Linked DNA regions of Sus scrofa. The protein of the gene in region 2 binds, or shares a complex with, the protein of the main gene of each other region. Links are inferred from orthologs where the notes say so. Each region holds a gene or a part of one and is shown on either strand. Other genes may lie near its edges.

What was found. Proteins that work in one complex are often made in the same cells at the same time.
Region 1: BUD13 (region 2) and RBMX2 share a complex: the UniProt entries of both Homo sapiens proteins name them as parts of the activated spliceosome. The link is inferred for Sus scrofa from reciprocal best matches to the Homo sapiens genes BUD13 and RBMX2.

What each region holds. Positions count from the first base shown.
Region 1 is NC_010461.5:106,879,479-106,883,230, reverse strand, and holds the start of RBMX2 (RNA binding motif protein, X-linked 2), read right to left. Parts: upstream 2,320-3,752; 5' UTR 2,285-2,319; coding exon 2,280-2,284; intron 2,086-2,279; coding exon 1,970-2,085; intron 1-1,969. UniProt on the Homo sapiens protein: Involved in pre-mRNA splicing as component of the activated spliceosome. As a component of the minor spliceosome, involved in the splicing of U12-type introns in pre-mRNAs.
Region 2 is NC_010451.4:44,148,255-44,151,906, forward strand, and holds part of BUD13 (BUD13 homolog), read right to left. Parts: intron 3,188-3,652; coding exon 2,417-3,187; intron 118-2,416; coding exon 1-117. UniProt on the Homo sapiens protein: Involved in pre-mRNA splicing as component of the activated spliceosome. As a component of the minor spliceosome, involved in the splicing of U12-type introns in pre-mRNAs.

The sequences.
Region 1 (3,752 bases), on a different chromosome or scaffold from region 2:
AACTAGAACACACCCTCACACCATGCACAAAAATAAACTCCAAATGGCTGAAAGACTTAAATGTAAGACAGGACACCATCAAACTCCTAGAAGAAAACATAGGCAAAACACTCTCTGACATCAACATCATGAATATTTTCTCAGGTCAGTCTCCCAAAGCAATAGAAATAAGAGCAAAAATTTACCAATGGGAACTAATCAAACTGAAAAGCTTTTGCACAGCAAAGGAAACCCAAAAGAAAACAAAAAGACAACTTTCAGAATGGGAGAAAATAGTTTCAAATGATGCAACCGACAAGGGCTTAATCTCTAGAATATATAAACAACTTATACAACCCAACAGCAAAAAAGCCAATCAAGCAATGGAAAAATGGGCAAAAGACCTGAATAGACATTTCTCCAAAGATATCCAGATGGCCAACAAACACATGAAAAAATGCTCAACATCGCTGATTATAAGAGAAATGCAAATCAAAACTACCATGAGATATCACCTCACACCAGTCAGAATGGCCATCATTAATAAATCCACAAAGAACAAGTGCTGGAGGGGCTGTGGAGAAAAGGGAACCCTCCTGCACTGTTGGTGGGAATGTAAACTGGTACAGCCACTATGGAGAACAGTTTGGAGATACCTTAGAAATCTATACACAGACCTTCCATATGACCCCGCAATCCCACTCTTGGGCATCTATCCGGACAAAACTCTACTTAAAAGAGACACGTGCACCCACATGTTCATTGCAGCACTATTCACAATAGCCAGGACATGGAAACAACCCAAATGTCCATCGACAGATGATTGGATTTGGAAGATGTGGAATACTATGGAATACAATGGAATACTACTCAGCCATAAAAAAGAACGACATAACGCCATTTGCAGCAACATGGATGGAACTAGAGAATCTCATACTGAGTGAAATGAGCCAGAAAGACAAAGACAAATACCATATGATATCACTCATAACTGGAATCTAATATCCAGCACAAATGAACATCTCCTCAGAAAAGAAAACCATGGACTTGGAGAAGAGACTTGTGACTGCCTGATGGGAGGGGGAGGGAGTGGGAGGGATCGGGAGCTTGGGCTGATCAGACACAACTTAGAATAGATTTACAAGGAGATCCTGCTGAATAGCATTGAGAACTTTGTCTAGATACTCATGTTGCAAAAGAAGAAAGGGTGGGGGAAAAATGTAATTGTAATGTATACATGTAAGGATAACCTGATCCCCTTGCTGTACAGTGGGAAAAAAAAAATATTAACCCCACCTCACAATTGTTAAGGATTTCATAGGAAATAAATTCCCCTACGAATGTTTCCTTCTTCATCTGTAAAATGGGGATATTGGCACTTACCTCACAGAATTGTAATAAGAATGAAAATAAAACAATGGCTATAAAGTGCCTAGCACAATGTCTGTTGTAATAATCTCTTCGAATAAACTGTCAAATTACAGAATGTGACACAGTGAATATGGAAATGATGATGTGGCCATGGACGGGGAAATAAATTCTGCGTGAAGGGTAATGAAGGGAGAGGGAGTTGGCAGTAATACCGGATAGTGGCTGATACCAGGAGTTCTCAAACCCCACAGTTCTTGCTGTTCCACTTGCTAGCTATGCGACCTGAAGGAAGTCCATTAACTTTTCTGCATCTCAGTTTCCTTAGGTGTATAACTAGAGGACAAGAGGATGATAATAACAGTCTCTGAGAAACCAAACGGCACGATTCTTAGCACACTGAATGGCAGGCAGTACCTATCATGAACGCTGATTTGGCAGCGAGAGCAAACTAGAAATGAGCTAGAAAAGCGACCTGGAAAACGGATTTATAGGCCGACAGTGGAAGTAAATAAAAGTGGGTGATGAATGTCGGGAGGAATGATGGGCGGGAATGCTGAAATGTTAGGAGGCAGGCCAGGAGAGAATGAGAAGCCCTGCGGGAGAAAGATGTGGGCCTCACCTAGGAAGATCCAGGCGCTGTCCTTGTACTCGGAGTGCCAAGACACCTTCTCCGCCACCCCCAGCTGGACCTCACGCTCATTCAGCTCGTTGATCAGCTTCACTTTAGTTAAAGGGCTGCACAAGGGGCGGAAAAGCGGACAAGTAAGCGCGGCCTAGCCTGAGGTAAAGGAGAGCAAAACTGGGAGACTAATTTTCTAGTATCTGCGCCTCCCCCGCTCCTCAGCCTCACAAGTGCTCTACCACTCCAGCTTCAGTGAACTACCCCCGGCCGCCTGTCCCCTTTTCCCAAAAGGAACCTGAGGCCTTACTTCATCTCCGCGGGTTCGCCCTCAGCACCTAGGAAGCGACTTCCGGGAGAGGCTGCAAGACGCATGCGCGACCCGGCGCTGCGCGCCCATTGGTCTCAGCTGCGCGCTTACGCCGCGCCGGAAGAGCCGGGCCGCGCTGGGGCGTGGCGCCTGCGCACTACGTCAGTAAGCGGCTTCTCTTGTTCCGCCGATGTCGCTCTTTTTCTGTAGACCCTCGCTTCCACCGTGCTTGGAGTTGGACGAGGGTGCGAGCCTGGTTTGTTACAGGACTCCGAACTCCTAAACGATGCCTGGCATTTATTGGGTTAACTATAAATGTTTTTTGAAGGAAGACTTTGAGAGGTGCCTGATAACGGCGACTTGAGTCCCATCCTTCTCTTCCAGTGCAAATCCTCATTCTGTCCTTAACTCCCAGCCAATTACTCACACGCACACCGCCATGAAAGCATCCCTGTTCAGGAGTTACAGCAGAAATGTGAAAAAGCTGTGTGAGAGGGTAAATCTTTTTGTCTCAAATCGCACCGCATAGGCAACTGACCACTGTGCCTCCATAGGCTGAATTGAATACCCAGATTTGTGTGAATGCTGCTAACCGTTTTCCATAGTCTGTCTGCTACTCAAGCAGGAGGTAGGAATTGGTATTGTTAAATTAATAACTAACAGTTGAGCAGGTAATGATAGATTGTGTGCTAAGCAATTTACATGTATTGGCCCTCCTGTGAAGGCTTAGATACAATTATCCTCCCCGTTTCGTAGCAGAAACTGAGTTTAAAGGAGTTAAATAACTTGGATGGTACTCTGTCTCTATCCATCAGATCCACTTGATTTATCGGTCCTTACTGAGCATCTGTATTTGTCCTATACAGTAAGTCTGCAGATGGGAATGTAAGGTTGGGTTCTCTGCCTTCAAAGAGCTAATAATATCATTGAGGAGACAGGGCTTGATAGATTTGACTCCAGAAATAATCAGGAACCTGTAGAAGAGATGATGGCATGTAATGTGTGAATTAAGCCATTCTGAAGATTCAAATCCATCTTGCATGTGTCCACATCAATTCTGGCCTTAGACCATGCAAATTATGTCAAAGTCAAATTATGGGGCTGTATAGTTCTCTGTGTAGGCCTAGCTCACAGCCCCAGAAATTAAAAGCACTTTGATGATGGTGACAGTGACAACTGTACCCTCAATGGTTCACCATGTACCCAATGTCTTCCCAAGAAGCAGAACAGGCTGCCCACCAATGACAGTTTTTGTGTCTGTCCCCCTCCCCCACTTCCAACCCAGCTATTCATTAACTTTGTAGAATTACCTTGGCAATGAAAACTAAACAGTGACAGATTGCATACAGGTTTTATCTGCTCCTAGAAACCTTAGGTTGCTTAGTTGTAGGGTTGAAGTAGTCACTGCAAAGTGGTAAACTAGCATGCAGCATTATCTGGATGGATTCTTCAGGCTATTGTGAAATGAGAGAA
Region 2 (3,652 bases):
GATCTGAATCAGAGGCTCTCCTATGGTCACTTGGGTAGGAAGAAGAGTCCAACATGTGACTGTGATGCTTCCTGGGTGATGAGCCTGTATGACATTTCCTATGTCTGGGGGAAGAGCCTAAAAATTAAAGAATATAGGCTTTAAGTCAGGCTAATGTTCAGCATTCATTTAGTCCTCCTGTGACAAACGATCACTAACCTAAATACAAGTACAAATGACATGGGAGAGAAAATCGAAATCAGAGACAACTTTTAAAACCAACAGGCAGGATGTGGGATTCTAGTCTCAAGTTATAATGACTGTGACTGGCATGTAATATCTCAACATACTCCTCTGTGCCATATTTATCCACACAGAGTGAGCAAAACAAACTGCACTCAGGTCTCAGCAGCATGGTAAAAGTTAAAATGGCCTAGAATATATTCTGATGTCCTCAGACTAAAGGATAACAATGTATCTGAATTTAAAAATTAAAACAGGGGAGTTCCCACTGTGGCTCAGTGGTAATGAACCCAACTAGTATCCATAAGGACATGGGTTTGATCCCTGGCCTCGCACAGTAGGTTAAGGATCCGACATTGCTGTAAGCTGTGGTATAGGTTGCAGATGTGACTTAGATCTGGTGTTGCTGTGGCTCTGGCATAGGCTGGTAGCTGCAGCTCCGATTCGACCCCTTGCCTGGGAACTTCCATATGCCACACATGTGACCCTAAAAAGCAAAAAAAATAAAATTAAAACAGTGCCTTGGGACAAAAGAGTAAACAAATCTCACTGCACAGGCCTGAGTTGTAGACATCACAAATCACCCCCAAAGAGTTCCTGCAGTGGTGCAGTAGGTTAAGAATCCCACTGCAACAGCTCAGGTTGCTGTGGAGGCACGAGTTCAATCCCTGGCCTGACACAGTGGGTTAAAGGATTCAGTGTTGCCATGCCACAGCTGCAGAGTAGTTCACAGCTGTGGCTTGGATTCAATCCCTGGCCTGGGAACTTCCACATGTCTTGGGTGCAGCCATTAAAAAAACAAAAGCAAGGAGTTCCCGTCATGGCGCAGGGGTTAATGAATCCAACTAGGAACCATGAGGTTGCGGGTTCGATCCCTGGCCTTGCTCAGTGGGTTAAGGATCCTGCGTTGCCGTGAGCTGTGGTGTGGGTCACAGACGCAGCTCGGATCCCGCATTGTTGTGGCTCTGGCATAGGCCAGTGGCTACAGCTCCGATTTGACCCCTAGCCTGGGAACCTCCATATGCTGCGGGAGTGGCTCAAGAAATGGCAAAAAGACAAAAAAAAAAAAAAAAAAAAAAAAGAAAGAAAAGAAAACAAAAGCAAAAAACTACAAATCACCTCCCCCAAAAAGCAATCTGCAACAGGTGTCAACAGTCCTAAAAGCATAGGACCCTGACCCTCTGACCCAGTAAATCAATTTCTACTTAATTTCTAAGGAAACATATTTGGAAGTACTTTGATTTCCAGGAGATCAATCTAGAAGTATTATTAAGGAAATAATCCAGAACAGGGCAATAGTTTATGCATAAGGATGTTGATTATAGAATTATAGAAGAAAAGGTGCAGAAACAACCTCAAATATGCAGTATTAAGGAAATGGTAAATTTATGTAACAGAATACCAACAAAAATTATATTAATGAGATATTTTATGACATGAGGAAGATAATGTTAAGGGAAAAAAAAAAAACAGACAAGATTACACATGCAATATGTATTTACTGCCTAGACAGACCTCGACCACATAAAAAATGAATAGAAAAAAAACAAAAAAAACTAAAAGAACACAGATTACAACACTAGCAGTGACTGCCTCTGAATGACAGAATTTTGTATGACCTTTTTCTACTTCTTTATACATTTCTATACATTCTGCAATGAATATGCAGTATTCTTATATGGGGTGGGGAGAATAAACAAAAGAATATATAAAACCCTCCTCTCTGCTACTATAAATTTTTAACTCTCCTCAGCCCAACCTCTCATGATTTCCCTCCAGTTTTGTTCGGTTTTTTTTGTTTGTTTGTTTTGTCTCTTGGCCTTTTCTAGGGCCACTTCCGCAGCACATGGAGGTTCCCAGACTAGGGGTCTAATTGGAGCTATAGCCGCTGGCCTATACTACAGCCACAGCAACTCGGGATCCGAGCCATGTCTGTGGCCTACACCACAGCTCACGGCAATGCTGGATCGTTAACCCACTGAGCAAGGGCGGGGATCGAACCCGCAACCTCATGGTTCCTAGTTGGATTCGTTAACCACTGTGCCACGACAGGAACTCCTCCCTCCAGTTTTTAAAACTTCTCCAATGCTCCATTCTCATTTCTAAAGATCACAAATACCTAAAAAGGAACTAAAAGGCCCAAAAGAAAGTGCCTAGGGAGTTAAGTCCTTCCTATGGACAGTCAAATGCTCACCTTTAGAGTCATGTTGCTTATTTCCAGAATGGGATTTTGCTTGCTTTTTTCGTGGAGGAGAGAGGTCTGAATCACACTCCTGCTTGCTGTTCTTTGGGAGTGATGGATGAGATGGTCCTGGCCCCTTCCAATGGGGAGAAGCTTGGCTAGACGCTCTTTCTGGGGCTGTACTGCTTTTGGTTCTGGGCAGTGAATGAGGGACACTAGAAGCCAAGTCAGGGGAATCATGACGGGCCCTCCTCAGCTGCGATGTGTCCATGGAATCAAGAGTCCTTCTAGGTTGAACTGTGTCAGGGGAGCGATTACGGGCCCTTCTGGGAGGAGAGATATCTGAGGAACTGCGGTGGGCTCTCCTAGGAGGTGATGGATCTGGTGTATCATGACGGGCTCTCCTAGGAGGTGATGGATCTGGTGTATCATGACGGGCTCTCCTAGGAGGTGATGGATCTGGTGTGTCATGACGGGCTCTCCTAGGAGGTGATGGATCTGGTGTATCATGACGGGCTCTCCTAGGAGGTGACGGATCTGGTGTGTCATGACGGGCTCTCCTAGGAGGTGATGGATCTGGTGTGTCATGGTGGACCTTCCTAGGAGGTGATGGATCTGGGGAATCATGACGAGCCCTTCTAGGAGGCGATGAATCTGGAGTGTCATGGCGGACCTTCCCCGGAGGTGATGAATCTGGGGTGTCATGACGAGCCCTCCTAGGAGGTGATGCATCTGGGGTGTCACGACGGAAATGTCTGTGTGAGGGCAGATCTTCATTGTGGCCTAAACACAAAGAGCAAAGAGTCAGAATCCCACAGATGCTCTGTTCACCCCCAGGAACCATAGTTTCAAAAGATGCCCCAGGAGGATACATCTGAAAACTACTCAGAAAGCCCAAAAGGTCTGTACAACTCTTACTTGGGGCAGTAAGACAGCACTCATGAATATCCTAAGAATAATCTCTCATATTTGCCTAACAAGTCATCAGTCTGTAAAGCATTTTAAATATTTTTCATGTTATATTTTGTTAGGTAAGCAAGGCAATTATCCTTGCTTAACAGACCTGAAAACAGAGACTCTAAGGGGCTAAGTGATTTCTTACCTGGGGTCACAGCTACGAAGAGAAAAGATAGGCTTGAACTCCAGTCCTCTAACTCTTAATCCAATGCTCTTCCACAAAACTGATTTGTACAGAGCTCCCCACTAGAGGCTCTTATTGATATTTAGCCTAGATAATTCATAGTGTGT